Caenorhabditis elegans: one gene and its partners. The protein of the gene in region 1 interacts with the protein of each later gene in a pairwise test. Each region holds a gene or a part of one and is shown in the gene's direction. Other genes may lie near its edges.

Evidence for each region.
Region 2: the proteins of uig-1 (region 1) and unc-95 interact in a two-hybrid assay, tested with the Caenorhabditis elegans proteins (one study listed by BioGRID).
Region 3: the proteins of uig-1 (region 1) and myo-3 interact in a two-hybrid assay, tested with the Caenorhabditis elegans proteins (one study listed by BioGRID).
Region 4: the proteins of uig-1 (region 1) and pat-4 interact in a two-hybrid assay, tested with the Caenorhabditis elegans proteins (one study listed by BioGRID).

The regions. Positions count from the first base shown.
Region 1 is NC_003283.11:13,289,361-13,293,978, reverse strand, and holds the start of uig-1 (Protein vav), read left to right. Parts: upstream 1-1,586; coding exon 1,587-1,692; intron 1,693-3,262; exon of another isoform or gene 3,263-3,412; intron 3,413-4,618.
Region 2 is NC_003279.8:14,380,816-14,386,583, reverse strand, and holds unc-95 (LIM domain-containing protein unc-95), read left to right. Parts: upstream 1-1,846; coding exon 1,847-2,069; intron 2,070-3,197; exon of another isoform or gene 3,198-3,285; intron 3,286-3,539; coding exon 3,540-3,628; intron 3,629-3,678; coding exon 3,679-3,826; intron 3,827-4,486; coding exon 4,487-4,675; intron 4,676-4,725; coding exon 4,726-5,129; 3' UTR 5,130-5,224; downstream 5,225-5,768. UniProt on the Caenorhabditis elegans protein: Required for the assembly and integrity of muscle dense bodies, which establish the adhesion sites of the muscle cells to the extracellular matrix.
Region 3 is NC_003283.11:12,231,329-12,236,071, reverse strand, and holds the start of myo-3 (Myosin-3), read left to right. Parts: upstream 1-1,728; 5' UTR 1,729-1,771; coding exon 1,772-1,907; intron 1,908-2,291; exon of another isoform or gene 2,292-2,427; intron 2,428-2,482; exon of another isoform or gene 2,483-2,675; intron 2,676-2,976; coding exon 2,977-3,188; intron 3,189-3,257; coding exon 3,258-3,414; intron 3,415-3,461; coding exon 3,462-3,761; intron 3,762-3,859; coding exon 3,860-4,388; intron 4,389-4,452; coding exon 4,453-4,743. UniProt on the Caenorhabditis elegans protein: Essential for muscle contraction. Involved in ovulation likely by regulating the contraction of gonadal myoepithelial sheath cells.
Region 4 is NC_003281.10:88,944-96,645, reverse strand, and holds pat-4 (Integrin-linked protein kinase homolog pat-4), read left to right. Parts: upstream 1-1,836; 5' UTR 1,837-1,842; coding exon 1,843-1,938; intron 1,939-2,500; coding exon 2,501-2,806; intron 2,807-3,415; coding exon 3,416-3,512; intron 3,513-4,008; coding exon 4,009-4,154; intron 4,155-4,783; coding exon 4,784-5,039; intron 5,040-5,453; coding exon 5,454-5,547; intron 5,548-5,963; coding exon 5,964-6,222; intron 6,223-6,856; coding exon 6,857-7,003; 3' UTR 7,004-7,193; downstream 7,194-7,702. Other genes in the region: mrpl-40 (Large ribosomal subunit protein mL40), read right to left, coding at 7,494-7,577. UniProt on the Caenorhabditis elegans protein: Probable pseudokinase that acts as an adapter protein. Component of an integrin containing attachment complex, which is required for muscle development and maintenance.

The DNA.
Region 1 (4,618 bases):
TTCTCACAATTTTCCAATTGACAAGTCACATAAAATAATAGGGAACTGCTATTTGAAAGACTTTTTGGTTTTTGATTTCATATTGCCTAAATGGCTTCGAGGCTAGTGATTTTTGGCGAAATAAAAACCTAATTTTTTTAAATCGTGAGCTCTTTTTGTTTCAACTTTGCAAAAAGTTGGCAATCCCGAAACTAAATTATTTTAAATGGTGAACATGCTACATAATTTTACTACTTTTCTAAAAAAATATATCATTGGTATTCCCCACAAAATTATTTTTTATTGCGTTCATCTATTCAAAAATGGTACTTCTAAAAAAAGGGTTTAACATCAGCCCAAAAAACGTAAAATAAGCTGATAAGCATTATTGACACTTTCCAGCATTGCCCTCATTCATGAACTCTGTCCGTAAGAGTTGTTCATCTATTTGCACATTTCTTATTCAGAATATAGAACTAGTGAATCTTTCCGATAATCCTCCAACCACTTATAAACTGAACCGAAACCGAAACAAGGCAATAAACATTTGGTGAAGATGAGCTTGTTCTTCTTTATTCTGTGGAGACCGTTTAGAGGTGGATAGCTTTTTTTCTAAGAATACAGTTGTTAAAAAACTAGTTTTATAACTTTTGATACAATTATTTTCAATTTTTTAAATAAGGTTTCTACCGTTTTTCTTCTATTACTATTATGCCTATAATACCTTTAAAAAAATAGCTACTTACCTATTTTGAACGGAGGTTTTTTTGTTATTATTATTCTTGTTCGATGATTCCAGTTAATTCATGAAAAGCCAAGAAATTGAATTTTTGGAATTGATAAACTACTAATTTCAGATGAGCAACCAAAAATTTTAAATGCATTGGTCTAGCAATAACGACGGTCTTTGAAAATTATCTTACTATTAGCAATCATATTAATAAAGGAATTGCGGTAATTCAAAAGGGAGCATCTTCCTCCGATTGCTCTTTGGCAACACAGTTTACCTCTCTCGTTTGGTATTAAAACTCCGCACGGGCCGTATTAGGAGTGTAAATACGGGACCAAGTAGTGTGACGAACCCTGCGCACAAGTATCAAGTTGACTCTTCTTTCTTACATTCCTACATTACCACCACCACCACTTTCAATCTTCCGTTTGGTATTCACTGACTTCAACATCTTCTTATTGTGCCAATTTATTTGTTCCTTCGCGTGGTTCAGAAGGTTTCTGAACGCTAGAGCGACGTTTCTTCGGTCAATCCCCCTATAATTACTTGTATTTCCGATGCGATCATATTCCCACAATTTTCTGAATTTCCCATGTTTCATCGGCTTTGAATAGAAACCGAATAGAATTTGACCAGAAAACAAGACGCAAAAAAGTGGAACATTAATGCTATAATTTGATGAAAAACCTTGCTTGTGGAACTTTGTTTCAAGTTTTTACCCTAGGTATCCATTTCTTCGGTTTCAAGTCCAGTTAATAGGATTAAAGCAAGAAATCAAAAGATTTATTTTGAAACTGCCAACTTCCTTTACCGTTCAATCTTTCAATTTTCTTTCGTTTCTTTTACCGATTTAAATCTTACTCTCTCTGAAGGTGCAATGTCGATTGGATTTTCCTGGTTCCGCAGGAGATTCAGCTACTACGAAGATAAGCAACAGTTCTCTGAATGTGCAAATGACGATGAGCCGACTGTTCAATTACAAGGTGTGATTTTTTTTTAACGTAAAATAGTTTTTTATTGTGATTCGATTTTTTTCATATTTGTCAAACTCTCTTTTGTTTTCAATATGTAGTATTCAATTAGAAAAGCAAGCTAAATTTTTTTAAAATGGCTAAAGTTTATCAGATATTAATAATTTCTACTCTCAAAAAACTTAAAAAAAACATTCCCCTAAACTCGACATTTTGAATAAAATTTCGAAAAAAATCCATATAGGAATAAAAATTACTGCCTTCGTGCCTACCAGCTATTTCAAACTTACATACATTGAAGAATAAATACCCAATCCTTGTAAATTTGACCTCAAATGTGACGTAGCTGAGCTTCTGTCTGTTCCATGTTTTGATTCGTAGGGGAGTCGATATTCAACGGGTCATGAAAAATTATAAATTTTATTTTATTTTTCATAACATTTTTATGTTTCAGATTTTATCTAGGTAAATTTAGGAAGAACATATCGTACTGAGTAAACCATTTGAATATTTTCATGAGCATGTTTTGAAGTTTTTCAAACGAAATGCAAAAATCACCTGCAAAACTTTTACCAACTCTTTTCCCATTTTCCAAGATCTTCCGAACTTTGAGACCCACTCATTTAAAGTCCTCACCAAACATCGGTATTACAAGACCAATTTTCGCATCTCCCGATTAAAACTTTAGAAATACATACAAAAAAAGAAACTTTCAATTTCCAAGTCCGATCATCAAGGCACATATTGTTTTGTTTGTTTTACATCCTCTTAACCTGGCTCTCGTGTAACGTGTCGATGTTTACTACAGTTTCCTTTTTTTCTTTAGTTGAGATGACACACATCGAATCATTTGCTTTTCTGATTTTCACCTCTTTTTGATCGAACCATCGCAGTTTTTATTTTATTTTTTGCCCTCTCTCAATTATTATTTACTAAAGAGAAATTGGAACGTGAGATTGTTTAGAAAAAAAAACTGTTTGATTTTATTGAGAAGCTTGTTTGATATGTTGGAAGGAACCTCAAGTGTTCATAAGATTTAGTAGTTGATGAGAACTTGAGGAAATGAGATATATAGAGAGAAGGTGGAGGAAAAGTTTACAAATTATCATTTTGTACGTGTTCGTGTTGTTACAATTCAATTTCATTTCTCATAATCATATCCTTCTCGCTTGTTGCAAAATCCGCATGACCTAATACTAAATCCAATTTTAGGAAACATAACCTCATCCTTTGTTTAGTTTTCTCTTCCTTCCTAAATGTCAATATTTTATTCACAACCTAGCGATTTTGTTTAGCAAGGCATTTTGGGAGCTTGGAAAATTTAGTTTCTCTAAATTCTACAGTCCTCCAACATTCATGTTAATAGTCTTAATTTAACAAAACACTATATCCCAAATTTTATTGTTACACTCATTTAAGTTTTTTTTTCCCATTTTATAAATTTTTTCATTCCATTTTTTCTGAAAACATACAAAATCTAAACAATTATTTATTTCAATTTAGTCAAGTCATCATTTAAACCTACATATACATTTAACTCGAAATTCCAAAATTTCCGAATTTATATAATAAATCCAAATAGTTCACATCATCATAATAATTCAACAAAAGTTGACCTCAAACGCCACCCATGCGCATTTTCATGGATGCCATGCGTATGGTTATTATTATTATGATTTTTATTATGTCCATCATCACACTCCGAAACTCTTTTGATGCCCTTCCGCAGATTCACGCGCCTATTTAAATGTTGACGCGGCAACGGTTTTATTATTGTTTCGATTAGGAAAATTCTTATGTAATCAGCCGATTGCGTAGAATATGAACATTTTGCATTGCATTGTTTTTGTTTGGTTTCAAGAATTTTCTGAAGCATAGGTTACATCATCGTGTAATTAGTTGAAATTCAAAATACAAGGTTTTCCATCACCAAATTTTGAAGACAAAAAGTGCACCACAAAATAATTCTGCCAGATCATAGTCAGTAGCTATAGTTTATAAATTGTAAATTCCATAAAAAATTGACCCAAAGTTACATTTTCTTCATTGTATAGACGAAAAACAAGTGTAAATGAGTTCGTAATCTAAACAAATTGAGTGTAGCAAAGTACTTGGACAACGACTACAACCTCCCATCCAGAAAATGTCATTTGTCAGTTTTCGATGGCATCTTTCCCCCCCCCTCCATTTTCCTTCTTCTCTCAGAATCCTAGAATACCCATCAATGTCTTTTAGTCAAGATATTTCTCGGCCCATTTTCTTGAATGGAATCATGCCGCATTTTCTCAATGCTTTTTTGTTCGTCCTTTCCCTCCCTTCATTCAATGCTCAAAGTGTCAAATATTAGAAGCCACAATTACACCACAATGTGTGTGCGCGGAAAAGTGTGGAGGAGAACATCTGCGACTAATGTTATTCAATAATCTCTCTTCTAATACAAAATATTTGAATATTTGTTATCTGCTGGGTGGCAATGGCGGCGGCTCCGGTGAAAAGCCGGCACTCGAGAATTGTTTGGAGATAAACGATATTCACATTTTCAAAAAATAATTGTTGATTATATTTGATTTCGAATTCAAACCTGCCACTTCAATTCTGTTGCTCCTTGAATCTTTTTCAAGCCAAAAATTTCAATTTGTACATCACCAAATGTTTGATAACACCAAAGACATCCAAGTTGTTAATAACTGAACTTTGTTATTTTGCACAAAATTTCAGAAGAAATATTTTGATTATTTTTTGATACTTTTTGAAGTGCTAGAATCAACATTGAATTTGAGCTAGACAAATGACCAAACCATCAAATCTCTTAGAAAATAAAAAAGTGAAGTCGTATTGACCATATAAACAGTGAACTTATTATTGCTTTGCACGACATTTAAGCACAAATATTTTTGAAATTATATTGTTGATTGCTCAATATATCACCAAAATATCT
Region 2 (5,768 bases), on another chromosome or scaffold:
AAATTGAAACTGTCCGGCAAATCGGCAAACCAGCAATTTGCTGAAATTGAAAAATTCGGGAAACTTGGCAAACCGGAATATTGCCGAAAATAAAAATTTCCGGCAAGTCGGACAAACCGGCAATTTGCCGGAATTGAACATTTTCGACAACTCGGCAAATTCCGAAATTGAAACTGTCCGGCAAATCGGCAAACCAGCAATTTGCTGAAATTGAAAAATTCGGGAAACTTGGCAAACCGGAATATTGCCGAAAATAAAAATTTCCGGCAAGTCGGACAAACCGGCAATTTGCCGGAATTGAACATTTTCGACAACTCGGCAAATTCCGAAATTGAAACTGTCCGGCAAATCGGCAAACCAGCAATTTGCTGAAATTGAAAAATTCGGGAAACTTGGCAAACCGGAATATTGCCGAAAATAAAAATTTCCGGCAAGTCGGACAAACCGGCAAATTGCCGGAATTGAACATTTTCGACAACTCGGCAAATTCCGAAATTGAAACTGTCCGGCAAATCGGCAAACCAGCAATTTGCTGAAATTGAAAATTTTCGACAAATCGGCAAACTGCCGGAATTGAAAATTTCCGGCAACTCGGCAAACCGGCAATTTGCCAAAAATGAAAAATTCTGGAAACTTGGCAAACCGGAAAATTGCCGAAAATAAAAATTTCCGGCAAGTCGGACAAACCCGCAAATTGCCGGAATTGAAAATTTCCGGCAAACCGGCAAATTCCGAAATTGAAATTGTCCGGCAACTCGGCAAACCGAAAATTTGCCGATTTGCCCAGTTTTTTTTGCTATTACCGCCCACCCCTGAGCTATATACAAATGTTGTTTTAAAAAATTTATAAGACCGTGTAACAAATTGCTTGTCAGTTGGCAGTTTTTGGGGATTTTGTCTAAATACACTTATATCATAAGAAAAAAAATCCAAAAAATCCAAACATATCATAATAAAGCACTCCAAAATTTTTTAGATTTTCCATAATTTCCGGTCAAAGTTTTGGCACATTGCCAAAATTTTGAAAACTACGAGATTTTGAGGAAATTTATAAAAATGTCGCATGTTTCGACCCCTACAATGTTTTAATTCAAATAATTTAAACAAAATTGTATTAAAAAGTATTAAAAAAATTGGAAATTTTTTTTTTTTTTTTTGAATCAATCGACCTCCAAAATAATGAGTGGCAAAACTGAGTAATCACTACAGTCACTACTTTTTGACAGTAAATAAAAAATTTTCAAAAATTTTTTGAAAAGTTTTATCATGATATTTGGTCATTTTTGGACCAAAGGAGTGGTTTTTAATAATTTCCCCACTGGCGCTACTCCACCTTTAATTACCGTATAGTATACGTGCATAGTATTATGGTACTAGTTAATACCCTAACTCACGGTAACAAATTCAAAAAAAAAAGAGCAAAAAATTCAAATAATTTCAACAAATCGATCTTTGTAGACTCCTCGATCTTCGTCTCTATCTCTCATTCCTCATTGTCTTCTCCTCACCATCATCTGCCGGGCAGATTCTGCCCCCGCAGTAGCCTGCTCTCTTCTGCCGGTGAGAGCATATGTTGTAATATATTTCTGTTGCTGCTTCTTGCTTTCCTCTCCCTTCATACACATCAGTGTACCACTGCTGTGTCGATTTTCCTCTACGTTTTCCTTTACACGAATTTGAACTAACACGATTTTTTTCTTTATTTGTTGTATTATACTTTTTTATTTAGACACCTAGAATTTAGGTGCACACTAGTTAAATATTGAAAATGCCATTATTAACCTCTTACTCAGTCTCACAGAAAAACCCAAAAATGTTCACCTCCTCCTCCTACTCAAAATTCCAGATGACTATATCCCCTCAACCCAGCCATCAACAATTCGAATCTTATCAATGGACTACGGAATCTCGTAGTAGTCAACAGAGACATGGCACCGGGACCCCGTCTCAGGATGGTCGGCTCTCTGCGATTCCGGATCCTGTGGAGCGCCACGTGGCCCGGTGGCGTAGTGAGAGCAGGAATTCCAATAAGGATAAGGTGTTCCGTAATGATGAGGAGTTTAGTCAACGTGAGTCGAAGTTAGGGGGTCCTCTGGGGGGGGGGGGGGGGGGTATGTTAAACTAATGGGAAATGTTAAACTAAAGAATTGAGGTGTAATACTCAATTAACTTTGAAAATAACAAAATTTTGTGTTAACTATACTAGAATGTCAAAATTAACAGAAAATGATTGGATTTTACCCAAAAATGGTCCAATTTTGACTGAAAACAGTCGGATTTAGACCAAAAATTGTCCAAAATTCGCCCAAAAATCTATCATTTTTGGTTTAAAAAGGTCGGATTTTGACCGAAAATAGTCCAGTTTTGATTGAAAATAGACCAATTTTAACCAAAAAATGGTTTCATTTCGATCACAAATTATCTAATTTTGACCAAACAATTGTTATGTTTTTACCAATAAATGGTTTGAATTTGACCAAAATGGTCCAATTTTGACTGAAAACAGTCGGATTTAGACCAAAAATTGTCCAAAATTCGCCCAAAAATCTATCATTTTTGGCTTAAAAAGGTCGGATTTTGACCGAAAATAGTCCAGTTTTGATTGAAAATAGTCCAATTTTAACCAAAAAAATGGTTTCATTCCGATCACAAATTATCTAATTTTGACCAAACAATTGTTATGTTTTTACCAATAAATGGTTTGAATTTGACCAAAATGGTCCAATTTTGACCAAAAATTTACCGATTTTTAACAAAAAAAAGCCGGATTTGAACTAAAAATTGACCGATTTTAACCAAAAATTGACCGATTTTAACCAAAAATTGACCGATTTTAACCAAAAATTGACCGATTTTCACCAAAAATTGTCTGATTTTGACCAAAAATTGACCGATTTTCTCCAAAAATTATCTGATTTTGACCAAAAAGTAGTCCGATTTTGACAAAAATTGCACGTTTTTGACCAATTTTGACTGAAAACAGTCGGATTTAGACCAAAAATTGTCCAAAATTCGCCCAAAAATCTATCATTTTTGGCTTAAAAAGGTCGGATTTTGACCGAAAATAGTCCAGTTTTGATTGAAAATAGTCCAATTCCGATTTTGATCAGAAAAGTTGGATTTTGACCAAAAATTGTACGATTTGGATCAAAAACGGTCCCTATTAATTTGCTAGTTTTGAGCAGTTAAGCATTAGGTTTAGGCTTAGGCTTAGGCTTTGACTTCGGTTTAGGCTTAGGCTTAGGCTTTGACTTCGGATTAGGCTCAGGCTTAGGCTTAGGCTTAATTTCTATACCTAATTTTCTTATTTCCGTGCCATTTTTTAGCTAGACCTTCCCACAGGAATTTCGGATTTTCAGCTAAATTTTGATTCTCAACATCAGATTTTATTCAAAATTTGCTTATAAAAGAGTCATTTCCAACTTTCTTATGCAGCCGTTTTTTAAGGAAATACCCAAAAAAAAAGTGGTGCACATTTTTAAGCAACAAACCTCTCAGATCATCAAAATCTCTCTGTCTCTATCCCTTACATTTTGCAGAAGACGAGATCGTTAATGGAACACTTACCGCGTTGAAAAACGATGTCGAGCAGACGACCGAGATCATTCGTCGCAAACAAGAACAGATGGTATCGATTTTTTCAGATCTTGTGCGGGAATACATTGAAATTTGTTTCAGAGAATGGAACGTCGTCAATTCCAAACCGAGATGGAAGTCAATGGTAGAATCTCGATTGATCCGACCGACGATTGGCTGGCCGCAAGGTTGAAAGCTGTTAGCTCGGATGACATGAATCAGCAGCTTGTCAAGCTGAAACAGGATCAGAGTAAGATCTCGTTAGAACCCTTAATAGGTTCAGATCGCATCTATAATCTGCTACATAATTCTTTCTAGGCTTTAGGGCACATCTAGATTCCAGCTAGGTCTATCCATAGCATTCGATCATATTTAGACTCCGTATTATGCTTCAGACATTATCCAAAGCCTATGCTAGGCCTCAGACTCCACCTAGACCCCATGTAAGCTTCAGAAGCCATTTTAGCTTCAGTCCCGTCAAGGCCCTTCCTAAGCATCAGATCCAACATATGCCCTATCCTAAGCATCAGAACCACTTCTCCCCCATTCTGAGCCTTTGACTCATTTAGACGTTGTCCTTGGCTTCAGGCCCCTCTAGACCATATTCTGAGCTCTAGATTCCAGCTAGGTCTATCCAAAACCTTCGATCTTACCTAGGCTCCGTATTATGCTTCAGTCCTCATTCAAGTCCTATCCTAAGCCCCTGATCCCATCTAGGCCCCATATCAAGCTTCAGGCCCCTCTATGCCCTTCCTAAGCATCAGATCTCATATAGACCCTCCCTAACCCTTTCTAAGCTTCAAGCCTAATTCAGACCTTACCTAGACCTCCAACAATAGCTTTAGGGCCCAACTGGACCTCCTCCCCCAGCTTCAGGTCTGTTCTTAACTTTCACCGAATCCATTTTCAGGACAAAACGCGGTGACCGACACATTGGCGGCCCTTGTTTACGATGTCAACGCCACGACTGAAGTTTTGCGTCGTGGACAACGTGGACGTGACGGTGAAGATGGAAATAAGAAGAAGAAGGAGGAAATCGAGTACACCTTGAGACTTACACCGGCACCAGAGGAACAAATCCCGCAGAGGCCAAAGATTCGTGAGTTTTCAGAACTTGGACCAAAAAATGTAGAATTCGAAAAATTCCAGCAGAGGACGACAATATGGAGACAGACGACTACTCCCGCCAATACGGAGTCCAAATGTCCGAGGAGACCGATAGCCTGCGCCGCCGCCGCGCCCGAAGCACAACTCCCCGCCGAACGCTCCACATCTCCGGCTCCCCACCGCCACCGGCCGCCGCAGTCTGCGCTTACTGCAGTGAAGAAATCGACGGCGCGATTCTGACAGCGTTGGCGCCAAACTCGGAACGGGCACAGAAATTCCATACCTATCATTTCATGTGCACATATTGTCAGAAGGCACTCAACATGCATGGAACCTACAGAGAACATGATCTGAAGCCATATTGTCATGATTGCTTCTACAAGTTGTATAATGGATTGCAATACGCTCCGGATGATCATCAAGCTTCCATTGAGAAACTCATTTAAATCACTACACATTTTGTTTAGTAATGATATATATGTGTGTTTATCTGTTATCTTGCAAAATATACACGAATTATGAAAAAAATCCTAATAATAATCAAAGATTTTCTTAAATTCAGATTCATGTGTGTGAAATAATGGGGAAAACCATCAAAATTCATTGAATTCTTGCAAACTATGTGTTAAAATAGTAAAGGTTATAGTTCTCTTAACTGATCTGAACTATGTGGAAAATTGAGCTAGGCACTCTAAAGCGAGCAAGCGTATTTTAAATACCTACTATGTCGATATTGAAACATATGTATAGCTTATATTAAATACCAATAGCAATGTTAAAAACTTATAGCGTATATTAAAATTCATAACGATATTAAAGATCTATGGCGTATATTATGAACCTATGGGGGTATTTAGAACTTACAGTGTATATTAAATACTTATGTATAGCGTATATTAAAGAACTATAGCAAATATAAATACCTATAGTGTATATTAAAAACCTATAGCGAATATAAAATACCTAAAGTGTATATTAAGAACCTATAGCGTATATTAAAATTTATAACGATATTAAAGACCTACAGCAGTGTATATTAAATACTTATGTAAAGCGTATATTAAAGACCTATAGCAAATATAAGA
Region 3 (4,743 bases), 1.1 Mb from region 1:
TTCTAAGAGTAAGAAGGTCAAAAACTGTTCTGGAATACATATATATTTTTCAGGTTACAATTAGTCAAAAAGTGCACTGAAATATACGTTTTAATTTCACGAATAACCCAATTAGTTCAATGTATTTTTGGTCAACCAACGTTAAAGTTTGGCTTCCAACCAATTATCATTTCTGATCAACCACAATGTTTTTTCTTTATCTGCAAGTTAATTTTTTATTTTTATCCAGATGTTTGGCATATTTTTCAATTCTTCACTAGCGCCCACTTCTTGCACTTCCGGCGCCCTGAATCTAATGCATCTGTTGCAAGAATTGAAAGACCAATCAACACATTGTTTTCTTCACGAGATACTGAAGAAAATGAATAAAAACAGAGAAAAAGAGCCATGTGATTAGTGACAACTGTTGCTAACAGATACCATAGCTTGGACTTGGTACGTGATGGCAACGTATGGGTCAACAAAAATGATTGCAGAGGGGGTGCAAAACAGTCAAGTCGAGAAAATATGAAAAACAGAAAACAAAGAACAGAAAAATGGGTTTGAGAGTCAGTATAATTTATAAAAGAAAAATTGTACATAGAAATTAACCATTTTTGTAGAAGAAGTTATTTTTCAAGCATCGTTAAAAATTATTCAAAGCACCTTATTTCATATTTAATTTTAAACATGGTTAAATGAACAACACGGTGCGCAATCAGGAAAACTTGAAATCTGAAACTGTTGTTGTGATCTTCTTCGCAACTGTTCAGATAGCACTAGTGTAATGTTAAGAGTGCGCGAATATAATGGAATATAATGGATCACACCTCCTGCCATCAGGTAAACGTCTCTGTTATCACATATTTCCAACTATTAAATTTTTACCTTTTACAGTTTTACATTTTTTTGAAAAAAGTAACTTTTTGTCTTCAAAATCCCTGACGAAAATATCAAATATTTTAATCGAGACTGCAGAGGAACCGATTGATGATTTGGAAAATCCAGCTTTACCTGTGTAAGAACTGAAAAGTTTCATAACCCTAGGGTATTCCCAGTTACATTCCCCACTGGCTAACAATAGCACCCAGTTTTTCATCACCTTTCTTCAAATTTCTCGGCGATTTGTTAAAAACAAAATTTGTGTCCCTTCTCTGATATCTCTATGTCTCTAAACACAAGTTCATCGGAAAACGAAGGAGGGTAGGTGTTGGTTGGGCTCCCGAAGTGAAAATAGAAGAGCAAGAATAGAATATTAGAGAGAGAGTGCAGAGAGGGCGGGATAGCTCCCGGGATTCCGTTTTCTTCTTCTTTATCTTCAACGATGATGTGTGTGCGTGTTGTATAGATTCTGTTGCTCCCCCACAACTCGCTCCGAAGGCTCAATACAATTCAATTGATATTGGAGGAGAGCCTACCGGAGTGGGAGGATAAGAAGAAACATAAGAAGAAGAAGAAGAAGAAGCATGCTTCTGGTTTTTGATGCTATGAAAACGGCACAAAAAGATGATTGAGGTCCCTTTTCAATACCTTCTCTCATCTTTCAAATCCCATTGAAACCTAAAACTTCTCACCACGCTTTACCATTGTTCTCCAAAAACTTATAGCAATGTCTATAACTTTTTTATCTCTGAAAAGCAGTGTTCCATTTTTCTTTTTCCTATTTTATTTCAATTGTTTCTCACATTTCGTTTGGATTCTTTGCTTGTCAACCAGCTTCTTCTTCCACTTTTACCGTCTAATTTTCAGGGCAGGGAGCCATCAAACCCACGACCACTAGATCCATCTAGAAATGTCTGGAAATCCAGACGCATTCGAAAATGATCCAGGATTCCCATTCTTGGGAATCTCGAGAGAGGCCAGAGCTGCCACTGCTGCTCGTCCTTTTGATTCCAAGAAGAACTGCTGGATTCCGGATCCAGAAGATGGTAAGTCTTGATTTCGAATTGAAAATTTTAAAGAAAAATTTTGAACCACGTGCTGTAATATTTGGCAAGAATATTTTCCCATAATTTTAATAGTAACTGTGATATGTTCTAATTTTAGAAATCAGTTGTCAACGCTAAAAATGTAAGGGTTACAATAGTGGTATTGCAAAGAGTTATGATGGTTAAGTTTGTAAATACTTTTTTTCTGTTAATGAAACTAATTTGGATACAAATTTTTCATTTGATCTAAACAGAACATCTTAATCAAAAAACACTTTAAAACTCTTGCTTTGATATTGTTTGTTCAATTTCCTAATTCTTACCAAACCAATTCAAGCTAACTTTCATTATGTCCATTCCATTAACAAAAACTATTATTACACCTTCTCTCTCATCGCCAGTGTCCACATTCATCCTACTCTCCTACGCTTTCATCTGTGTCTCTCAGATCTGCATTTTATCTATGATACATCACACTTTCCACCGACCCCGCCGGGCAACCAGTGGTGGCGGATTTTTGAACATCTGAGGTTCTCTCATCTCTCGGTCATCTGATGAAGCACATACACACATACACACAACGGCACTTTGTAATCTTTCCGGAGAAGCGGGCAGGCACACACGTACGCTATGAAGCCGGAGCAAGAGCTTCTCCTGCCGTTTGAACTGCGGCTTCTGCTGTTGGCAGGAAAGATGATGAGATTTCTTGGAATTTAAGATTGAGATATTTGACGTCCCACATTTTATGGATGGACAACAATATGTACATGTTTTGAAGATTTAATATTGAAATGTGGATATGAAATCGGAATTTAAAAAGTCAAGGTCAATAAAATGGTAATTCTGACCAGATCTATTATTCGAGGATGACAAATAAAACTAGGATTAAATCAAAAATACTAAATTTGAAAATGAAAAAGAAAAGATTGTTCTATAACTTATAAATCTCACAATAATGATTTTTGTACAGAAACAAAAACTAAATGACATAATCGAATAAAACATTCTGATTTTAATCAGCCGCATGCGACAAAACATATATTTCTTGGAGGCTAATATTAAATTTCAGGATTCGTCGCCGCCGAGATCCAATCCACCACCGGCGAACAGGTGACCGTGGTAACTGTGAAGGGAAACCAGATTACCGTCAAAAAAGATCAATGCCAAGAGATGAACCCGCCAAAATTCGACAAGACCGAGGATATGGCTAACTTGACCTTTTTGAATGAGGCCTCTGTTTTGGGAAATCTCAAGGATCGTTACAAGGATTTGATGATTTACGTAAGGAAATTGAAACTATTCAAAAAAAAAATTAATACTATTCAAAAATTGAACCGACTTAATTTTCAGACATACTCCGGACTTTTCTGTGTTGTAATCAATCCATACAAACGTCTTCCAATCTACAGTGAATCTGTAATCAAGCACTTCATGGGAAAGAGACGTAATGAGATGCCACCTCATTTGTTCGCTGTCTCTGATGAAGCTTACCGTAACATGGTTCAAGGTATGTGAAAATTTAATTGTTTTAGAACTTTATTTTTCAAATTTCAGACAAGGAGAACCAGTCTATGCTCATCACCGGAGAATCTGGAGCTGGAAAGACTGAGAACACCAAGAAGGTTATCTCCTACTTCGCTATTGTTGGAGCCACGCAAGCTGCTTCCGGCAAAGAAGCCAAGGATGGAAAGAAGGGAGGTACTCTTGAAGAGCAAATTGTGCAAACGAACCCTGTGTTGGAGGCTTTCGGTAATGCTAAAACTGTCAGAAACAACAACTCTTCCCGTTTCGGAAAGTTCATCAGAACTCATTTCTCTGGATCTGGAAAGTTGGCTGGAGGAGATATTGAACACTGTGAGTGATCTTTTATGATTAGTTTTTAAGAAAAAATGAGATTGGAGGAATTTAAATTGAAACTAGTGAAACCATTCAAAAAAGAAAAATATTTTCAGATCTTCTCGAAAAATCTCGTGTCGTCCGTCAGGCACCAGGAGAGCGTTGTTATCACATCTTCTACCAGATTATGTCTGGAAACGATCCAAGTCTCCGTGGAAAGCTTAAGCTTAGCAACGACATCACTTACTATCACTTCTGCTCGCAGGCCGAGCTTACCATCGAAGGAATGGATGATAAGGAGGAGATGAGACTTACTCAGGAAGCTTTCGATATCATGGGATTCGAAGACAACGAGACTATGGATCTTTACCGTTCCACTGCTGGAATTATGCACATGGGAGAAATGAAATTCAAGCAGCGTCCACGTGAAGAGCAAGCCGAGCCAGACGGTGAGGAAGATGCTCTCAACGCTGCTGCCATGCTCGGAATCCAAGCTGAGGAGTTCCTCAAGGCTTTGACCAAGCCACGTGTCCGTGTCGGAACCGAATGGGTCAATAAGGGACAGAACTTGGAACAGGTCAACTGGGCCGTTTCTGGACTTGCCAAGGCTATCTATGCCCGTATGTTCAAGTGGATCATCACCAGGTAAATAACAAAGAGCAAATATTTTTAATTAGGGTAAATATTATTCTACTTATTTTACTTTTAGATGTAACAAGACCCTTGACGCAAAGGAGATTGAGCGTAAGCATTTCATCGGAGTGCTTGATATCGCTGGATTCGAAATCTTCGACTTGAACTCTTTTGAACAGCTCTGGATCAACTTTGTCAACGAACGTCTTCAACAATTCTTCAACCATCACATGTTCGTTCTTGAACAAGAAGAATACAAGCGTGAAGGAATTGCCTGGACCTTCATCGATTTCGGACTTGATCTTCAAGCCTGTATTGAGCTTATTGAGAAACCACTCGGTATCATCTCTATTCTTGATGAGGAGTG
Region 4 (7,702 bases), on another chromosome or scaffold:
ACGTTGCTAAATCAGTTGAGAACACTCTGCGGCTCTTCTCTCGCATTTTTTGTAGAAGATCTACGTAGATCAAACCGAAATGGGACACTCCGACTCCCCCCGCTGGAATTGTCAGAAAATCAATAATTTTCTACGCAACCCTCCCGGTCCCCAAAATCCTTGGCATCATCATCATCAATGCTCAGTTTCCATCCGAGAATCGTGTTACAACATCCGTCCCTGCTTCTCTGCGTCTCCTATCTCTCTCCATATCTCTTTATCTCTAACTCACACGACTCCCACGGGAACCAAATCTCTGCGTCTCTCACTGCATTTCACACTCTCTCTCCCCCGTCTCTTCTCTTTCTCTCAAATGTTCTTGAATACCTTCTTCCGATGAGCTTCTCGCCCCCTCAAAACCAACTCAATTTTATGATATACTTTCTAGTGATATGATATTCCGTTATTTTTCTGCCACGTGGCAAAATTTTGGGATGTTAGGCCACGTTAGGCCCTTTCTTGGCTGTTTTGGGAAAAGCGTCTGAAAATGGTTTTTTGTCTGAAAAACGTCATTGAATTTTAGTGCTGCAATTGTGAAGTGGTAACTTTGTTAAGCTTCACAATTTTTCGTTATGCTCCGGGTTCAGGTATTTTGTAAACCCAGTCTTTGAGAAGAAAATTGCTAAAAAAACTTGGGTCCCGCCACGAAAACGCTAGGAATTTCAAGAGTTTTTACAGGAATTGATACATAACTTTTCAGTGCTGTAGAGGAAAAATTTACAGATCTTTTGGGCACAAAAATGTGCGATGGGGGCTTTGAAATAACGTGAAAATTTTTTTTGAATTACTTTTTTAATCAAAAAAGTCCTTTGGAATATTGGGGTTTTTTAAAGCTTTTTTAGCAAATTTATACTATTCTGAAAACCCTTAAACTGCTTAATTTAATGAAACTAGGTATAACTTTGTCGAACTATTTTCAGCCAAGTTACAGTAATTCTTCTGAAACTCGCTGCGGAGCTTCAGAGCAAAAATTACGATTTCCTCAAAATTTTTAAGAGAAAGTTACCATAAATTAATATTTTTCTGATGGCTCGGAAATTTTCCTATTCAAATTTTGAATTTTCAAGACCAGAAGCTCGTTTTCAGCCAAATTTTAGAGCTTTTTCAGGAGTTAGCTGTGAAAGGTAAAATTGGAAAATGTCCTAGAAGCGAATTTGCCGGTTTTTTGATAAAAATTTTCAGGCAAAATCCAGGCAAATTTGTACTTTTCTGAAAGCCCGAATTCTCATCTTTTCAAATTCTTAGCATTCAAGACCAGAAGCTCATTTCAAGCGAAGTTTCAGAGCTTTTTCTGAGCCAACCTCTAGACGACGGAATGGTCAACGAAAAGATATCCCACAATCGCTTGCCGTTTGTTCTCTGCGCGGGATACTACTCCCTCTCCACAATACATACATTTACAACAAATTTCGTCTTGTTCTCTGCGTCTCCTACATAGTCCTCTACTATCTCGCCTGGCCAGCGGGGGAACAATGTTGACCCCCCCCCCCCCATGCCGTCGCCTCAGCAAAATTCTACTGCTTTCTGTTGTACTTATTGCATTGTTTATTTGTCTATGTCTCTTATATCTAACTTTTTTGGCTTGAAATTATAGATTCCGGGCTTCATGGGGCCCGGGAAAAAGTTGGAAAAATTGAGAAAATTTGGAAATTTTTGGAGATTTTTATTGATTTTTTAATAGTTTTTTTCTTCAATTTTCACCGATTTTTTTTGTTGTAATTTTACATGTTCCTGCTCAATTTTTCTTGATTTTTTCAAATTTTACACTATTTCACACGTAAAACCTTATATTTCCAGTCAACAATGTCTTTGTCGACTCATTACCATGCGCACAAGCCAAATGTGCCCATTATAATGGAGGATGTGTTTGGATGGGTCCGCGAGGGTAACGCTTTTCAGGTGAGTTTTGTAAATATTTTTATGGGGTTAGGCTCGATGAGAGCTTTTGAAAAAGTATAATTTTGTATAGGTTTTTGAAAAAAAAAATTTGGAAAAAAATTGAAAATGTTTGGAAATTATTTTTTTTAATTCTAGAAAAATTCAAATTTTTTCGCTGAAAAGTGGGCGGAGCGTATATGAATTTATACTTTTTTGAAAGTTAATGTTTTTCCTCAATTAAAAAAATTTAAATTTAAATCCGAAATTCTGAGATTTTCTAAAAAAAAAATTCATTAAAAATTTTTTTTTTTTAAATTTAAATTCCTATTTAAAATGGCGGAGCTTATACAAATTTATACTTTTCTAAAAGTTAAAATTAAGCTGAATTTGAAAAAAATTGTTGCCAATTTGAAAAATCAAGTTTAAAGCTAGATTTTAAGCTTAAATCTGGAATTTCCGGTAATTTTTGTCCGATTTTTCTTTTCATGCTAACTTGATCAACTTTCACCGAAATTGTCCAATTTTTTTGCAGAGGATTTATCACAATCCTTACTATAGACTAAGACTACTATCAAAATTTCAGGTCCGCGTCTGGTTGGACGATCACGAGCACGATCTCAACGTCGGAGACGATCACGCCTTCTCACTGCTCCACTGGGCCGCGAAGGGCGGCCACGTGGCGATTGCAGAGATGCTCCTGTCACGTGGAGCACGTGTAAACTCTACGAATATGGGAGATGACACGTCATTGCATTTGGCGGCCGCCCATGGACACCGACAAATTGTGGTGAAGCTTTTGTCGAGAAAAGCCGATGTTAACGCTACCAACGAGCACGGAATGACTCCACTGCATTATGCTTGCTTTTGGGGATATGAACAAATTGCTGAGGTGATTTTATTGATAAATTCGAATAGAGCTTGTTTAGAGCTTCAAAATAAGTATAAACTCGATTGGGAAAATTTTTTGGGAAAATTGGAAAAAAATGATTTTTCAAAAAATTCAGAAAATTTTTTTTCCAAATTTTCGAATAAGTTCTTCTCGGAAAGTTTTAATTTCGCAATGAAAATGTATAGTTTAGGTGAAATTATTTTTATAATCAAATATAACTAGATTTGAGCTTTAATAAATGTATAAATTCATAAAGGATGCGCCCACTTTTGACCAAAAATTTTGAGCTTTTTTTTGCCGGAAAAAATTTCTGAAAAAAAAATCATTTTTTCAACACTTTATAACTTTGGAAGTTTTTTGGCTATTTTTTTTTATGTTTTCATACTTGCGTCCTAAATATTTTAAAATTTCAATTTATTATACCAAAAACACAAAAAGTCCCTATTTACAGTAGCCCCTGGGAGTTTTCGTGGCGGGACCCAAAAATTTATCGAAAATTTGTAGAATTTTCAAAACCCGGGCATGATTATACTTTTTTGAAAGCTCTTAACAAGCTGAATTTGAATTTGTTAATAATTACCTTGATTTCTTGCAAAATAACAACTTCAGGACCTAATCTCCTGCGGCGCCGCTGTCAACGTGTGCAACAAGAAGGGAATGACCCCACTGGACGTTTGCCAGCCAATGTGCAAAAACACTATTTTGGGTAAGTTTTTTGTGCATTTTAATCTGAAAATTGAATTTTTTTAGTCGGAAAACATATAGATAAGATTTTTAGAAGAAAAAATGCATTTTTTGAAAAAAAAAACATTTTTCAACATTTTTACAACTTTTCAAAAACTCATAACTTTTTAGTTTTCAAGCGATTCGATTTAATTTAACGTTAAAATAAGTCTAAAAGATCAAGCTTTTTGGTAAATTAACTTAAAAAATTGAAAAACATAAACTACAGTAACCCTATAAGTTTTCGTGGTGAGACCCAAAAATTCTGAAGTCTTCTGGGCAATGCTCATTTTGTGTGGAGCCTGGGCATGATTATACTTTTCAGAAAGCTCTTGGTGAGCAAAATTTAATTTTGATACTTAAAAATAATGTGTACAAAAATTTAATGTTTTTTTCAGCAAAGACTTTTGACTCGCAAAAAGTTTTTTTTTTGGGATGACTTTTTTCTAATAAATTTTTAAATTATCGATTTTTTCTAGAAATTGCTCAAGAACATGGACAATCTCCAAATGACCGTGTACCATTCAAGGATACCACATGGAAGGGTACAAAGTCCCGTACTCGGGACGCCACACTGTCCCGCTACACCGGAGTCGACGTCTCCTCGCTGAATTTGATCACTAAAGTGGGTTATAGATTTTTTCAGTGGAAAATAACTTAAAAATTCAAATTCAGCGTAAAAAATTAGTTTCAATCGTTGAAGGATGGGAATTTTCCGCGAATTTCGAAGTTTCTGAAAAAATTCGAAAAAAAAAATTTTTTAAGGAAAATTTTCAAACATTGAAAAAATCATAACTTTGACTGTTTTTGAGATTTTCAGCCGGTTTTAACCTCAAAATATGCACAAAAACTTGTTCTACGTCAATAAAATATTAAAATACTGTATTGACACAAAACAGCTTAACACTATGGATTTTCGCGGTGGGACTCAAAAACTCGTCGAAAATTGGAACCCGCTACGTAAACTTCCAGAATTCACTTACCGTAGTGTATATTATTATTTAATATAAATAATACTGTTTTTCAATATTTTATACGTGTTTTATGTCAAAAATCTGCAAAAAATCTTAAAAATTGGCAAAGTTATTAAGATTTGAAATGTTTGAAAAAAAAACTTCATTTTCGAAATAAAAATTTTTTTTGACCTGAGTAAATGTATACTTTTCTGAAAGTCTAGATCAAGATGAACTTGATAAGCTACCTCAAACTTTAAAAATCCCAAAAATTTCCAGCTTAACCCCCACTCTGTTACAGATCGCTGAATCACACTCCGGAGAACTGTGGCGTGGAAAATGGCAGGGCAACGATATTGTGGCGCGAATTTTGAATGTTCAAGAAGTGACCGCCCGTATCTCACGTGACTTCCAGACCGAGTTTCCGGCTCTTCGTATTTTTGCTCATCCGAATATTTGTGCGGTGCTCGCCGCGGCTAACCAGCCACCGAACTTGGTGATCATCTCGCAGTACATGCCATTTGGAAGCCTGTATAACGTGCTCCACGAGCAAAGTTGTGAGTTTTGAAGGTTTTCATTGAAAAGGGCGCAAAAATTAGTCCTAGAAAATGTTTTGAAAATTTTTTTTTTTGATTTCGAAAAAGTAGAAAAAAATTTTTTTTTGATAAATTTTTTTTTTTCAAAATTTGTACTTTTCCCAATTTTTGAGATTTTTTGTTAAAATACTGCGCACAGATAACTCAAAAAATTGTCTTTTTAGTAAAATTATCAATATCATATTAGATAACTTATCTACAGTAACCCAACAGTTTTCGTGGCGAGACCCAAAAATTCTCGAATTCATGCTAAAATGGCCGGAGCCTAGGCATGATTATACTTTTCTGAAAGCTCTTAACGAGATCTATTAGATTTTGACATTAATTTGTGAAAAATCGCTGAAATAATTTAATAAAATCAATAAAATATTGCAGCTGTCGTCATTGATCACGGGCAAGCCGTCAGATTCGCGTTGGACATTGCTAGAGGAATGAGCTACTTGCACAGTTTGGACCCTATGCTTTTGAGGTTAGTGTGGTTGAATGGAGCTTAAAAAGAGCTCCCAGAAAAGTATAAATTTTTATAGGCTCCGCCCATTTTTCTGGCGGGAAAATTTGAATTTTATGTTTTTAAAAAAATTTGGATTTTTTTTTCCAAATTTCAAAAGTTCATAACTTTTTTAGTTTTTGATACTTTCAAACGGTTTTTGGCTTAAAATGTGCCTGAAATAATGTTCTTCGAAAAGTAGCTACAACAAAAATTTTCAAAAATTGTTTTCAGGAATCCAAGAGTTTTTGGGGCACTACTCGAAAAAAAACTTAAAAAAAATTTTTTTTTTTTTTTTTTTTAATTTTTTAATTTTCCCCCCATTTTTTTACGTTTCTTAACTAATTTTAGAGTTTCAGATAATTTAAGCTATCATAAGCCTAAAGCCCAGTTTCCAGGTTCTACCTCTCCTCCAAACACGTTGTAGTCGACGAGGAGCTCACCGCCAAACTCTCAATGGCAGATACGAAATTCTCGTTCCAAGAGGTCGGAAAAGCCTATTCGCCTGCCTGGATGAGCCCAGAAGCCTTGTCACGGGCTCCAGAAGACTTGAATATTAGAGCTGCCGATATGTGGTCATTTGCTATATTGTTGTGGGAGCTGAACACTCGTGAGGTCCCATTCTCTGATCTACCGCCAATGGAATGCGGAATGAAGGTAAGGGAGGGTTTTTGGAGGGCTGAAAGTGTGAAAAATGATGTTAAAATCCTAAAATTAATCTATCAGTTAATTTCGGATGAAATTTTGGAAAAAAATTTTTTTTTGGCCCAAAAAAAATTGTTTTTCTATTATTTTTTTCAAAAGTGTTCATTCTTAAATTCAAACTCAGAAGCTCAAAACAGGCCGTGACAACATTTTTTAGCTCGTTTGGGCTCAATGTCGTAAGATTCGGTGTTTGCGTACTTCCGAGACTACAGTACCCCGAAAGCCCTGAAAATGGAATAGAAACGTCTAGTAACGACTGACCACGCTCAAAATTTTGCGAGAAATTCGAATTGAACCACAGTTTGTTGACATTTTGAGATAAAATCAAAATTTTTTTCTGAAATTTTGTCAAAAAATTCGAATTTCTTCGTATAATTTTGATCAAATATAATTTTTATCAAAAAATTTGAATTTCCCGTCACTTTCTACCTCAATAAACTCAAAAAACTCATTTTCCACCGCTTTTCTGCAAGTCGTCGTCAGATTCAGTGTTTGCGTACTTTTAGGGTTACAGTACCCCTTACACCTCCAAAATCAGCGTTTCCAGACCCAAATTTCACGCTGAATCCAAATTTATTAATTTCAGATCGCTCTGGAAGGTCTCCGAGTGCACATTCCCCCTGGAATCGCCCGTAATATGAACCGTTTGATGAACATTTGCATGAACGAGGACCCGGGACGTCGGCCAAACTTTGATCAAATCATTCCGATTTTAGAGAGAATGATATTATGATTTATCGATTTTGCTTTTCTAATGTTTTCAACAATTTTTTTAAAATTCAATTTATCAAAGCTTTACATCAAAAGTGCCTGCTCCTTGTCCAGCCCCATCGCATTTTCCGTCTATATATTAATTTTAAATGTTAAACTGTCAAAAAAAATTGCTCAATTTATGAAAAAATCAATAAAATCTTATGAAATGTAAGGATTACTGTACGCAAACACTCTTCGACAAAAAAGTTCGCTGCAGTAAGTTTCATGTATCCAAATAATCAGTTGCCAAAAATTTGCACGTGTAGCCTAGTGGCTAGTGACCTCGCCCGCCAATCACAGGGCCTGGGTTCGATCCCCGCAGTGGCAAATTTATTTTTTCCAGCTCGGTTTCACTGAAATTTTTAGTTTTTTCCATAAAAATCGATAATTCCTTTATTAATGCGTCATCCTATGTCACTGTCTACAACAAAAATACCCATAAAACACATAAAAATCAACAATTTTCGGCTCTAAGATGCCCAATTTCTCGTAGTATCAATGTAGTCGCCGTCCGGAGCCTCGTAGTTTCGAATGGGCGGAGTCAGTGAGGGTCCCTGTAAGAAATTTTAAAGGATTTTTCGGAATTTTTTAATTTTTAGAAAAAAAAATTTGGAAAATTCCAGGTTTTTTAAAAAAATTTTTTAACCAATTTTCGGAATTTTTCGCAAAATGTCAGTGA